Rhinolophus ferrumequinum: one gene and its partner. The protein of the gene in region 2 binds, or shares a complex with, the protein of the main gene of each other region. Links are inferred from orthologs where the notes say so. Each region holds a gene or a part of one and is shown on either strand. Other genes may lie near its edges.

Region 1 (7,620 bases), on a different chromosome or scaffold from region 2:
TGGAAACAAGATAATGTAGCAATCTCTAAAATTCTCAAGGAAAATGATTTACAAACCATTAGTTAAGCATAAAGGTAGAATGAAGACATTTTCCAGATGCAGAAAGTATGAAATATTTTGTCTTCCATATGCCCTTTCTCAGGAAGCTCCCGGAAAATGTGCTCCACCAAAACAAAAGAGTAAACCAAAAAAGAGAACGTAGGATCTGGGCAACTGGGGATCATAGAGAGGTGAAAAGAAACCAAGATGATTATAAGATCATACTGTACTTACCCATCAGACTTAAAAAGCAATCAGTCCAGTTTGGTAATCGGAAGGGGAGAAATTCCTTCAGAATTAGATTTACAAACTACTTGATGGGTGTCTAAATCAGGAAGAGTTAGACAACTGGCAAAGAGTTTGGGGTTGAATTTGTGATCTAACCCTAATTTTTAATCGAACAAACAGGAGCATGGGAATGGGAAGGTTGTATGTGAGGTGAGGGTAGGGATAAGGTTAAAAATAAAGCTAAATCCACATCTGCTAGAATGGAAAGTCAGTAGATAATGCTTGAAATGGAAAAACAGAAGACATATAAGCACGTTATTTAAAGACAAGGAGACAAATACCTGAAGAATCAGCTAAAAGAAAGTGATTGCCTCTGGGTAAGAATCAGCTAAACAAAAGCGATTGCCTCTGGGGAGCAGAAACGAGGAAGAGTAAGAGAACTTTTTTTTTTAAGTAAAAAGCCCAATGAATAGACATACTTGATTTTGTAAATTATGTGCATACATAACTCATAAAAATCACAAACAAAATACAAAAAGAGAAAGGTCTATAGATACCTCTGGCTTGGCCCAGTAAAAAAGTGAGGCATTTCCCAGTGTTGGGGAGGAGTAGAGTGACACCCTGGCCTTTCTAGAGACTTCAGTTTTAATATTCACCTCTAAAGACCAGTAAACTGCTCCAAAGGATTTTTCCTGCCTGCTTTTTCTTATCTCTTTTTCCCCTTCCCCGGGGATTTAGAGTCAAAAAACCTGGTTCAGGTGCTAGGTCTATCATTTAGAAATTGTGTGACCTAAGGCAAATTAAGCTCTCCAAACTTGTTTCCTCTTTGTAAAATGAATAGAGAATTGATATGAAAAACCAGTTATATAACACATGAAAAAGCTCCACACAAAAGCTATTATCTCGTGTACATCTTTAAGGAGAGGAAAAAGGGCAATTTTGGTACGTTCATTCATTCAACAAATATTTATGGTGTACTCTCTCTGCCAAGCACTATTCTAGGCACTAAGACTGTATCAGTGGCTGGGGGTAGGAGTGGCGGTTGCAGTAGGCCTCTCTGAGTAAGGACTGTAAGGAGGTGAGGGAATGAACCAAGATATCTAGGGAAATGGGTTCTAGGAAGTGAAACTGCTTGAACAAGGGCCAATGTGGCAGGAGCGGAGTGAGTGAGGGGGTGAGGGGCTTTTACTTTGAGTGAAATGGGGAGCCACTGGAGAATGGTTTTGAGCACAGGAATCACAGAATCTGACTTGTTTTAAAAGGATCATTCTGACTGCTGTTTTGAGAAAATAGGCTCTAGAGTCTATAGAAGCAAATTGTTAGGAAGTTTTTCCAGTAATTCAGATGAGAGGTGATGATGATGGTAGTAGCACTGGGAGCAGTGGTTGGATTGTAGATATTATTATGGTAGAGATTTCCTAATAGAACAGATATAGGAGTAGGACAGGAATAAAGAATAACTCCAATGCTGGGAGAATGTAATTTTCTTTCAATTCCCTGCCCTTAAATCATGATGACTTCCTCATTTAGTCTTTTATCCAGATACTCATTTTTTTTTTGTCTTAGTGAGAATACAACCAATTCACTGATTTCGTGAGAATACAGCCAATTCAATGATTTCTAGTCGGTAATGTAGAGTGTCCAAGAATAAAAAATATTACAATCTACTTGCAAAACAGTTAAATAAAACAGTTAAATAAACTGTGGCTCTTCAACGAGAATAAACTCTAAAAATTTTGTCTCAAAACGCTAGGGGTTCTTGGTGTAACAAAACAAAACAAAATACATAACAAAACGATTTCTTACTCTGTGAGAATATACCGCGCCTATATCAATCTTATATGGATTCATTTTCTGCATCTCCTTTTCCAGATCATTCTGGTTGTTGAAGGATTGGTAGCGAATGTAAATATCATCTTTCAACGTGAATGAAAATTCACGGTGTTGAAAGTAATTCTTTATTACTGCAAAATAAACGTACATTTTAAAGTTAATTTGGTACTTCATTCAGCTCAGGGCATCATAACATTAACCGATGAGAAGATATTTTTAATGAGCCCTCTGTGCCCAACACTGTGCTACATGAAAAAAAAAAATGTAGTCCCTCATTTGAAGGGGCTTACTACAGGGCATCTCAGAGGGAAAGGTAAAAAATGAGAAAAAAGATGCAGAAATAAATATGTAATGCCACCTCTCTCCTCGGTGGGCAGTAATAAATTCAGCAGCGAAGAGTTAAGTACCTCTTTCCCTCTCGGAGATACCCTTCGGTCCCTGATGCAGATCACGCCTCTGCAGCTTCATCCTACGACCAGTCAGGTACACCAGACACCAAATGTGTCCGACCACGTAGTGGTAGGAGCAACGGCTCTGTCTTTCAACGTGTGGCCTGGTCATTATATCCTCTCTTGGCCCATTTAAACCTCAGAGGTGGTGGGGAGGGCTAGAGATAATAAGTGAAGGAGCCCTGCCCAAAGGCTGGCGCGCAGAAGGCACTTCATATTGTCATTCCAAAGTACCCTCTTCATATTCCCCTCCCGACCTACTACTCATTCCGCTACCCGCCTCCATCACCTCCGCCATAGTTGAGCCAGCGATAGTACTGGGAGTAGGGAAAAAGCCTCCGGTAATAAAGCTTAAGCAGCTCCGGCAGCTCCGCGGGATCAAACGCCTCCATGGAGCACAGTACTCAGCCCCGGCAGGATTACCGCAAGAATTGGCGGGAACCGCACAGCCGGCGCTTTCGACACTGCGCAGGCGCAACGTGGCCGTGACCCATCGTCTGCAGGGGTCACTGGGAATTGTAGTTCCCAATTGGGGATTTAAAAGCTTGGCGCGGGAGGCTCTCCCGGGGGTCTCTGCTCACCCTCTCCGACTGAGGGTCCACTGCTCAGGTGGGCCAAAGGAGGCTGCGCCGATTCCACGAAGATCTGTGGAAAGATGAACTCTTGAGCATATGAAGATGAAGTATAAACGATGTTCGCTAATTTTGAATGTTTTAGAAATAACACATTTAAACAGTGTAAACCGGTATCTTTTTAAGAGGGTTTGGAATTTATTTCTTCATGGTATTACTAGGTCCATTACTATGTAGAAATATTTCTCATCAAATGAGAAAAGCAAAGGGTATTTATTCAGAGTTTGTTATATAGCAAGGGAGTCAGCCACCGTCACTTGCGTTTTGGCAGAAGACTCAAAGGCAGGCATAGGAGTGGGAAAGCTTTACGGCAGAAAAAGGGAAAGGTTTCAGGTGTGACCTAGTTCAAGACTGTTTGCTTGGGGAAGCTGTAGGTGGTCTAACTAGCAGCAGGGCGTCCATGAGATTTGGTTAGGGGTTCATATTTGACCTTCTCCGTTTGGCCCTAAGTTGGAAGTGGGGACAAAAATTAGAGAAGCTGCTAGTTATTAATCAAGTGCTGGCCATTTGGGACCAGTTGTTACAGAGGTTATTGTTTGGCTTTCTGGACTATCACTAGAGACAGCGGTCTGATTTATAGCAAGCTGGCTTCCTGGGCTGTTTATTATAGATAAAGCAGTTGGTTTTCTGGGTAGGCTTTTGCAGGTTGTGGGTCAGTGTTCTGTTTTTATATATGGTCTGGCCATTGTTTGTATATTCAGTCTCTCAAATAGAACACCCAGGAATACTAAAATTTGAATTAGAGGTAGCTTACAGAATCATGGGAGCTTTGCAAGTATGAAAGGAGCCTGTTTGCTATTGATGTACAGATCTGTCAGTCAGTCTTACCTGGTAAAGATACACCTCATTGCAAGTGTGGAGTGGGATGGACAGTCTGATAGTAATCCCATTCGTATTGTGTCACTTGAAACCCATCATTTTCATGAATTTTGTTTTTACAATAATAGTAGGAGAGCAAGGAGAGAATAGTCTGTAGTAAGTTATTATTAGCCTATTCTTGAAAATGATTATAGTCCCTCAGCTCCTATGGGCAACATGGTAAAAGATGGGCTCTGGGCAGATCACACTTATTTTGAATATTCCCAGAAATCTGGCTTCCTGCACAAATCTTAGTTGATTTTCACAATCCCTATGCATCCTGTTTTAGGTAAGGTGAATTTCATTGCTGGGAAGGTCTTCACTATAATAAAACTAACAAGAGGGCCCTGTAGAGCTCTCTTTTCCAGAACCACATCCCCTTGGACTTTTTAAAGGAGGTTTCTCAACTTCCTCATTGCTGCCTTTAAGAACTGACTTCTTTGTGCTATTTGGGAGTCCCCTATTTAAGTTTCAGGAACACTACGGAGAATAACACCTTAAAGAGCTAAAACATAAGGGGAGAAAGCAAAGGAAGTTATATTAATTGAATTACTACGGTATGCTCGATTTATTTAACATTAATTTTCTCATCAGGAAAAAAGGAATAATAAAGGCTAACATTTATTATGCTGTCAAGTACCATTTTAAGAATTTATTCCTCATAAGAACCCTGTGTGGTAGGTACAAATATTATCCCTATTTTACAGATAGGGAAATATGCAGAGAACTGAAGTAATCTGTCCAAGGTCACACAGCTACCATGTTCCCCAGAAATTAAGACTGGGTCTTATATTAATTTTTGCTCCAAAAGACGCATATGGGCTTATGTTCAGGGGATGTCATCCTGAAAAATCATGCCAGGGCTTATTTTCCGGTTAGGGCTTATTTTTCGGGGAAACACGGTAGTAAGTAGGAAAGTCAGACAGCTTGGCTCCAGAGTTTAACCCCCAAGCTACATACTGTGTGTCTACAAGGGGTTGTTGTGAGGGTTAAATGAGATAAAATAAGAGGTGCCTAGCAGAATTCTTGGCCCAGAACCACTCAATGTGAGAAAGCTATTCTGTAAAAGTGCTCTGCTATAGAGGCTTTTATCCCAAGTGCCACTAAGAGGCAGTATTGCCATTCAGTTGGTTTCCCCTTGTGCTTCATCCACTTAGTAGGTGCAAAACCCCTTTGTCCTTCAAGTCTTACACTTTTTACCATCCTCTTTACATTTACTACTTATGTCTACGAGCATCCTCTTTAAGTAATCTATCAGCCCTAGGTCTCTCTCCCTAAGTTCTTTGCAAACTTAGACTCTTACCCAATGGACTTCCCTTCCAGTGCAACTCCTATTGTTATTATGGATGTTTTTAGCATGTGAAAAGATTATCTATTCTGTAAAGATATGGTTCTTTCAGTCATCTTTTAACTCATTCACTTATTCCACAATTAATGAACATTTGTGTTGGGCACTTAGCTGGGCTCTGGAGAGAAAAAAATTAATGACATGATTTCTGCTTCTGAGAAAGTTATAGTCCAGTAGGGGCAATAGACACAAATCACAAAGTGTAATGAAGTGTTATAGATGCATTTATAATGCAAGTGTTTTTGGGCACCAGCATTTTCCTGAAGACTTGAATAAGATTGGCACAGGGACCACAGTCACACAAGTGTAAGTGGCATGGCACTTTCAGGAAACTGCAAGCCATGGCCAGAGCATTGCATGCCAAGCTAAGGAGTATGGAAATAAAAATTATTCATCTTCCATTTTTATTCTGCTTGGGTTAAATTAAAATAAAATATTGATCATGTTAATATTTCATGAGAAGCCTTGGGAGTAAATAATCTTGTTGAAACAAGTACATTGGAAATTTGCAGTACTCTTGTGCTAGTTATTTTCCTTCTCAATAAGAAAAGAGAAGATTAGAGAATGTGTTCTGTTGACACAAGAACATAATAAACAAAGGGAGACTATCTAGGTGGGGCCAATGTCATATTTAAGTTTAATTATGATACGTTCTGTCTCTTGTTATCATAAACTACTAAAAAGTAATAAAGAGTACCTTTATATATGTTTAATGACAAAGTTTTAGTTTAATCTCATAGAAATGTTTCTTTTAACTACAAAGCAAATGATGACCACAAAGCTGATAACACATATGTTATAGTACATTGCAATTGTTCTTTTTTTATTTTTTTATTTTTTTTGCAATTGTTCTTTAATCTATATAATAAATTCAATATATGAAATTGAATTTTTTCACCTAAGCTATCAATTAACACACCAGATTTTTGATTAGTAACTTGCTAATATACATATTGTATAGGTTCTCTTGAGAGACTCTTGGTAGTCATAAAACTACATACTCTTTGGGTCTAGCTTTCTCCTTGCAGACTGCTTAAAATAAAGGATTGCAGGTTCATATCAAAACACAACATCAAACCTTGTTCTTCCACAGGAATTTGGATTTACTGAAGACAGTGGGGAGTCTTGCAAGGCTTTTTTTAAGCAGGGGAGAAACATAATCAAAGTCGTGTTTTATAAATATCTCTGGAGCCCTGTGGAGGGCAAATAGAAGGGGAGAGAGCAATCAGAGGTAGAGAAATCCCAGGAAATTTTTGCTGGGATCCAGCTGACAAGGATTCGTGGCCTGAACTAAGGCAGTAAAGTGGAGATGGAGGGGATTAGTTGAGATAGACTTAATATCAATTAGATGTAGGGAATGAGAAAGTGGTCTAGGATGATTTCCCAGGTTTTAGGCTTGGGCAACTGGATGGAAGGGGGTTGTCTAGTACCTAGTGGGCACTCATTAAATTTGTTGAGTGTTTGTTGAATACATGTAGGGATAGGAAATAACATGAAAATAAAGAGGATCAGATTACAGTGACTCATCATTACTTCAGTTTGAAAAGTTGAGTTTGAGTTACTGCTGTAATATCCTCTAAGGTTTCTTCCATAGCCCATTCATCCAAATGACCACATACATATTTCTTATAAATCACAATATTGCATACTGATAATATGCTACAATATGGATGAACCTTGAAAACATACTAAGTGAAAGAAGCCAGTTAGTCACATGTGAAATGTCCAGAACAGGCAATCTGTAGCCATAGAAAGTAGATTAGTGGTTGCCAGGGGGTAGGGGGAGGGGAGAATGGTGACTGCTAAGGACTATGGGGTTTCTTTCTGGGGGTGCTGAAAGTATTCTGAAACTACGTATTCTGTGAATATACTAAAACCCACTGAATTGTACACTTTGGAAAGGTGAGTTGTGTGAAAATTAATAAACACAAACCTCAGGAAGCTAGAAGAGAGAACTCACACATGTCACCCAACACACACTACTGATCCCAACAGGAAGAGACTTACCTTGCATCTTCAACAGGAAGCGATACTACATTACTACCTCAGAAGAAGGAAGATTTCTCCTTGTCCAGTAACAGCTCAACCACTAGGAGACTGCCTGCCATAATTCAGTCAGTGAAAAGTCACTATACTTCGAACTTTCAGTTTCCTCCACTGGACTGTTTACAACAGCCCTTCCATAAAAGAGCGGTCCTCTTGTTTGTTTCTCTGGACTTGCACTTGTTTTGCC
Region 2 (6,946 bases):
TTAGATTATTACCATTCTTGAGAGATTATTCCACTGTAGCAAATTAAATGCTGTTTACTATGCATTCACATTTTTTCTTTTAAAGAGCAGCTTTCAAATAACTTCTCATTATACGAATGGTTTTTTTAAAAAAAGCTGTTAAAATGTACGCACACATGTGCGTGCACATATGTGTGCACGCACACACACACACACACACACAAATACAGTGAAGGTGAAATAAAAACTTTCTCAGACAAAGACTGAGAGATTTCACTGCCAGGAGACATGCCCTGTAAGAAATGTTAAAAGAAGTTCTTCAGGCAGAAGGAAAATGATACAGGTCAGAAACTGGGATCTACATAAAGAAGAGCATCAGAGAAGGTATATATGAAAGTAAAATAATTTTTTTCTTCTTATGAAGATAGCTTTGTTGGAAACAAAGCAGTAAAAACGTATTGGGTGATTATAGTGTATGGATAAGTAAAATGAATGACAGCAATGTCACAAGGGATGAGAGGAAGGAATTGGGAATACTCAGTTATAAGGTACCTGCACCACACATGAAGCAGTACAATGTTATCTGGAGGTGGACTTAGATTATTTTTCAATGTATATTGTAAACTCTAGGTAAATCATTAAAAAGTTTTTAAGAAAGAAGTATAAATGATATGCCAAGAGGAGATAAAATGTAATAATATAAAATGCTTCATAAAAACCAAACCAGAGAAGTAGAACTGAGAGAAACAAAGAACAAATGCAGAAAAACAGTTGCAAATGGCCAATAGTCACTAAAAAGACTCAACATCATTAATCATCAGGGAAGTGCAAGAGATAATAAAAACTGCTAGTGCTGCCGAGGATGCAGAACAACTGAATCTCTCATACTCTGCTGGTGGGAATGTAAAATTGCACACAGTCACTTTGGAAAAACAGTTTGGCAGTTTATTTTAAAGTTAGACATATACTTACCTCATGACACAGCAATTCCACTCCTAAGTATTTACCCCAGAGAAATGAAACATGTCCATACAAAGACCTGTTCACAAAATTACAGAAATGGAGAACAGATTAGTGGTTGCCAATGGTTAAGGATGGGGTGGGGGTAGAGGGTTGAGCAGGAGGGGAGCAGGTGTGACTGTATAAGGGCAACATAAGGGATCCTTAGAGATGGAAGTGTACTGTATCTTGACTGTATCCATGTCAATGTCCTGGTTGTGATATGGTACTATAGTTTTGCAAGATGTTACCATTGGGAGATACTGGGTAAAGGATACATGGGATTTTTCTGTATTATTTCTCATAACTGAATGTGAATTTACAACTATCTCAAAATTAAAAGCTTAATTGAAAATGTAAGGCAGACTACAACATATAAAAAAACAAACAAATATTAACATGAATTTTTAGAAACATACTCAATGTATTAAAGAGGTACAAATAGATATAACATAGTGAGTCATCATGTGTAGCTAGCCATTGATTATGCCAATCGAGGCAAATGAAAGTAAAGATCAATTAAGACATAACCTTTGTTTTTGATCTAAGAATAACATATATGTTTTGGAAAGCCTCAGATTTATACACACATACATAACTTTTCAGCAGGCTTACCTAGCTAGTAATGTGTGATCTAGGAGATATGCTCCCCTCCCCCACTTTTGAACACCTTTTGTTTCCAGGATGATCTTTTAAAGTACTGCTGGCCTTACATAAGTGTCTTTTAGGTAACCCAGATATCATCCCATTCATAGGAAGACACAGTACTAAATGCTCTAAGACATTATAGAGTGAAAGTCTTTAGAATAGGTGGGAGATGAGCTCTCCTTCCTGATGAAAAAAGATGTGTCCAGGCATATGTGACCACATATTGTTCGACTGGATATTTATGTCTGGGTTATGCATCCTGCTGATGATTCTAAGGTTTAGCAATACCTTGTCTAGACTCTTTGTTCTAGACTTTGGCTGCACATTGGAATCCCATCATCAGAAATTCTGATTTAATAGGTCCGGAAGGGCACTGGAAACTTTGAAAAACTGCTCAGATAATTCTAATTTGTAGTCAAAGTTGAGAATCAATGTTCTAACCTTATAAAACTACTACTGTAAACTTTATAAACTTTAAGGCCTATAAACTACTACTGTAAACTTTATAAACTTTAAGGATAAAGTAAGAAATCCTCATGCTGCCATCCTCTGCTAAAATTCACTATTGATTGACTATATGATTGATGTTCTAGCTCATAATTCTTAACTTTGCTCCAATACCTTTAATAATTCCCAGATGAATTCTGGTTTTCCATTCCCAAGTGTTAGTTCATGCAGCTGGTTGAGTAGGTTCTGAAGCATTAGTATAGCTACTTGTCTTTGGGGCAAGTTTTATTCACTATGACATTGCATATTTTTGCTATGATCCAGGGCTCAGTTATCACAAAAGATTTGCCCATTGGTCTATAATTCATGATGAATCACTTGAGGGCATGGATCTAATATTGCTCTCTAGGGGTATGGAGCCAAAAGCATTATGCACTAGTGGGTTTGAGAAAAGGGTTCAGATGCATTGGCCTCCACGGCTAAAATTAATTCTACATAAAATGGTACTCAGATGGTTCTCACTTTAAGTTCTTGGTTTAATACGTGTTCTTTAGTTAAGATATACATACCGATGTCTCTGTTCTTATTGTTTGTTAAACAATAAATGAGACGCATACATTGCATGCTTTGTACTATGTACAAGAATCTAACACCCTTTTTGTCTTTCATAACATTGACTTTTGCAGGAGTACAGGCCAGATGTTTTATAGATAGTCCTACACTTTGAATACATCTCATGTCTTCATGGGTAGGTAGGTTCAGGTTAAACATTTTTTTGCACGAAGACTATATAGGTGATGTTCCTTTTTCTAAGTGCATCACATCAAGAGGTATATGATTGCCCCTTATTGATTGGTGATGCTACTTTTGGTCATTTGGTTAGTATGGTGCATATAGCTTTATGTGGTCAGTGTGTGTGTGTGTGTGTGTGTGTGTGTGTGTGTGTAGAGGGTGCCAAAAAAATGTATACACACTTTAAGAAAGGAAAAAAAACTATATTAATTGTAATACTCAATATATATTGTTAACAAAAGATGAATACAAATCACGTTTGACTTCTGCAATTACAAGAGGTGCTCACAGTGGTTACCATCAGTGTCCAGACACTTCTGATTACAGCGAACTTCTGCTTGAGCATAGATAACATCTCTTAAAATGTGTATATATATATTGGCACCCCTGGTATATATGTATATAAAGAGGGTGCCAAAAAAATGTATACACATTTTAAGAAAGGAAAAAACTGTTAAAATTACGATAATTGAGTACCTCTTGTAATTGCAGAAGTCAAACGTGACTTGTTTTCATCTTTTGTTACCGGTGTGTATTGAGTACTACAATTTTAATACAGCTTTTTTCCTGTCTTAAAATATGTATACTTTTTTGGATATCTATCTATATCTGTATCTATCTATCTATAATATATGTATTATACAGCGACTGTGTCCACACTCTGACACAGTATCAGGCCAGACTCTGTGCTGCAGGATGCAGTCGCTTTCCCAGGGTCCTGGGAAACCGGTCCAACCACGTCCAGCCTACTGCCAGCCCGCATCTCTTTTCCCGGCAAATCATCTCTCAGAACCAAAGAGCCCCTACTCCAACGCACTCAAATCTTTTCCCATCAGCACAGGTGCGCCTGCGCAGCGAGTCTCCAGAAGGCCCCTTTCCAGCGCCCGACCGCTTCTTTTTCCTGTTCCCTTCGGCCTCCGCTCAGCTGGTGCTTTTCCCTTAGGGTTAATCACACGGCGCGAAACGCGCGCCCGCGGGAAGGCCGAGGGCGGGGCACGACGCGGCGCTACACGTCAGTGGCCTTCCGGACGGAAGTCCGCAGCCTTCGGAGCCGCTGATTGGCTTTCAGGCTGGCGCCTGTCTCGGCCCCCGCGCCAGTTTTGGGCTGGTTGGCGCGGAATCGGGAGACTCCGGGACCATGGCGCCCGTGCACGGCGATGACTGTGAGCTGGGGGTGCTCGGGGTCGGGTTGGGAATGTGGGGTCGGGGACTGTGGAGTGATTGCAGGTGTGGGGACTCGAGGGTGGGTCTCTGTTTTATTTTTCCTTAGGCGCTCTGCCGAATCGCCCTGCGGGTGTTCTTGGGCGCGGACCTTGGTCTTCCAGAGCTGGACGTACTGGCGTCAGATGGGGCTTCCTTGCAGGGCCCTTTGCTCCTGGCAACCCCACTGCGGGGCTTTTTGTCTGGGACGTTCCGTCACCTCTGTCACTCTGGGTCTCCACACTAGCGTGCCTTTCTTTTTATTCCTTTTGGTTTATCGCGTCCCACGTGCTGGGCACACCTATATCGAGACTGGCCCCCGCGGGGTACAGTCTTGGCCGAAAGTATTTCATATTGCCGCCCCAAGTATGCTTGAGGGCTAGGACAGAAGTACGCCATCCCTTTTATAGAAACTGCCTGGAAAATTGTTTTATGTTGTAACTAAGCAGAAAAGAAAGCTCAAGTGCTGTAGCCAGAAGATACAAATGCAATTTTTCATTTTTATTTTTTTTGCAATTTGTCTTTTTAGGTACTTGGTTTCTACTTTATGCATTAACAATTTTCTTTCAAATTCTATGGAAAGTTCTTCAAGTATTGCACAGAAATAGTGTTCACAATCTAGTCATTTCTGGTGAGGCTTCTGAAAAAATGCATCAGTTCAGCAGCATTTTGGATGCCCTGTATCACTCCGTTTTCAGTGGTAATCTTTTATTTCCAAAAATAGAATACAAAACACGCAAATGGCTTTGTCTGATTTCTGATTTTTTGAACAGCGTTCAACTAAAGTGTGACTTAACTTCATCAAACTTCTAACTTAAAATCATGCTGCGCTTTTTTGCTCAAGTGTCACATTTCCTGTCACTCAAATACCTCACCATTAATGAGAACTTTCTTCCTAATCAGCTTTCTTTACATTCACCTAGTTGTGAATCAGATTTCAATTTGTTCTTCTAGCCTTGCGTTTTTTAAGACAATTTATTTTGGAGAATCGACTAGCGTGGATTACAAATGGGATGTAGGATGTGAGTATGTGAACAGTCTTTGCAGCCCTGATTTGCCACTGAGCCGTTTCTTCACCCTAAAAACTGTATGACATCTGTGAGCATCAAGAAATCACTCTTTGGAGGATACCGTGCAATCTTGAGACCCCTCTTAAGTCATGGTGTTGATTAAGTGTTGCTGGGGAGTTGTGACTGGAATTTTTTCTTTAGAGCAGACTGAAAGATTGTTACCTGAAAGATTGTTGCTGCCTGGTAGTGTTGGTCTGCTCCTTTCCAGCTCCCAACCAATGGGGCTACTCCAGATGGTAATTTTGAACCAAATATTTAAACTTTTGTAAGTTGATTTTTTCATGCTTCTTCTTTTTTGCTAACTTACCTATGTGAAGCATATTCCAAAAAAGGAAAATCTAGGCCATTTTTCCTCCTTAAGTATTAGAGGGTGGGGGTACCTTGACAGTGGCAGTGAAAAGTTGAAAGGTCTTATTATAACTTGCTGTTATTATATATGAAACAAGATCAGGGAGAATTTAATGATTAAATAAAGCAGGTACAGTGGTTCATTCAGCAAATATTTATTAGGTACCTGCTAGGCGTAGGCATTCTGCCAGGCTCTGGTGTTACAATGGTAAGTAAGATGGACATGCTTTTTGTCTTCATGGAGCTAAGATAGGAATTATATGCAGTGTTATATTGGTGCTTCCCTGAGAAAGCTGCTTTGCTTTATTTGCTTTCTAGAAGCTAGACCACAGTACTACTAGGGTGTGTGTGTGTGTGTGTACACGTGTACCCTGTATCTACACACACATTAAATTAGCTTCTCTTATGTTGCTGAAGCGGACCTGATTATCCCCATTTCACAGATGAGGACCTTGAGGATCCTCTAGCTATAGGAACCAACTCTAGCTGATTTAAACAGAAAAGGAATTTACTAGAAGGATATTGTGTTGTTCACAGAAACTCTAGGAGGACGGGAGAGCCAGCTGGTGGCTGCTCAGCCAGGAATAGTGATTAAAATCCTGCCACAAAACTGGTTCAGTGAGGAGGTCATTGCCAACCATAGCCAAGTACTTGAGGTTATAGCTGTAGTTAACATTGCTGGCACTGTTGCCCCAGGTACTTAATCCTCTTGCAGCTGTTGCTACTTCTAGAATCTTCCCTCAGCCCGCCCTTTTCCTTGTGACACTAGCTTCCAACTTCAAGTCTGAGCAGACGTTCCTATTGGTAGAGCCTATTTTATATGCCCATGCCCTAGCTGTGAGGGTGTCTGGGAAACAGCGGTTCCCTTTTCAGCTTCTGTAATAGGACATGGGCTTTGTGTCCCATCAGACTTCTAAGGGGGAAATTTCACAAACAAGTTCAGATGCTGGACAGCTTAAAACAAGAAGACAGCTGGCCACTGCAGCTCAGAGAGGTTAACTGGTGTTCTCATTGTCACCCAGTAAGTGGCAGAGCTGTCTTGTGCTCTTCTCCCTAACCTCATTCTCCCACTCATTCTACACTGTCATCATATCTTACCTTCCACACTGACTTTCTCTCAGTTTCTGAATACACCTTGCCTTTTTGTCATTTTAATCTGGCCATTGTAATCTGGCTCATACCTTTTCTTCTGCTTGTGCCACTTTTTACCCTGTACTCTGAAATTCTACTCCTCTTCCTGGGTCTGTGTTGGAAACCTTTCCTGTGAAGCCTTCCCTGATTTCCCAGGCAAAATTAACAGCTCTCTTTTCTACATTTCCTCAGTATCATGTTCTGACCTTTTATATGGCACCCTGTTTATATGATGGTGGGAGCCTCAGGTGCTTTGCTTTACTTGACTTTAAGCCCCTCGAGGACAGGCAACTCTGTCTTGTCATTGTAGCGTGGCACATTATTTCCTATGG

Evidence for each region. Proteins that work in one complex are often made in the same cells at the same time.
Region 1: the proteins of POLA1 (region 2) and PRIM1 are in contact, whole or in part, in a cryo-EM structure (PDB 7OPL), measured with the Homo sapiens proteins. The link is inferred for Rhinolophus ferrumequinum from reciprocal best matches to the Homo sapiens genes POLA1 and PRIM1. Residues at the interface, in NP_058633.2 of Homo sapiens: Tyr439, Ala440, Pro447, Glu448, Lys449, Ser450, Phe876, Thr877, Thr878, Gln880, Leu906; in NP_000937.1 of Homo sapiens: Asn92, Thr93, Val94, Lys95, Leu96, Gly97, Ala98.

What each region holds. Positions count from the first base shown.
Region 1 is NC_046293.1:55,924,781-55,932,400, forward strand, and holds the start of PRIM1 (DNA primase small subunit), read right to left. Parts: upstream 3,007-7,620; 5' UTR 2,942-3,006; coding exon 2,839-2,941; intron 2,232-2,838; coding exon 2,074-2,231; intron 1-2,073. UniProt on the Homo sapiens protein: Catalytic subunit of the DNA primase complex and component of the DNA polymerase alpha complex (also known as the alpha DNA polymerase-primase complex - primosome/replisome) which play an essential role in the initiation of DNA synthesis.
Region 2 is NC_046284.1:107,388,096-107,395,041, reverse strand, and holds the start of POLA1 (DNA polymerase alpha catalytic subunit), read left to right. Parts: upstream 1-3,846; 5' UTR 3,847-4,003; coding exon 4,004-4,028; intron 4,029-6,946. UniProt on the Homo sapiens protein: Catalytic subunit of the DNA polymerase alpha complex (also known as the alpha DNA polymerase-primase complex) which plays an essential role in the initiation of DNA synthesis.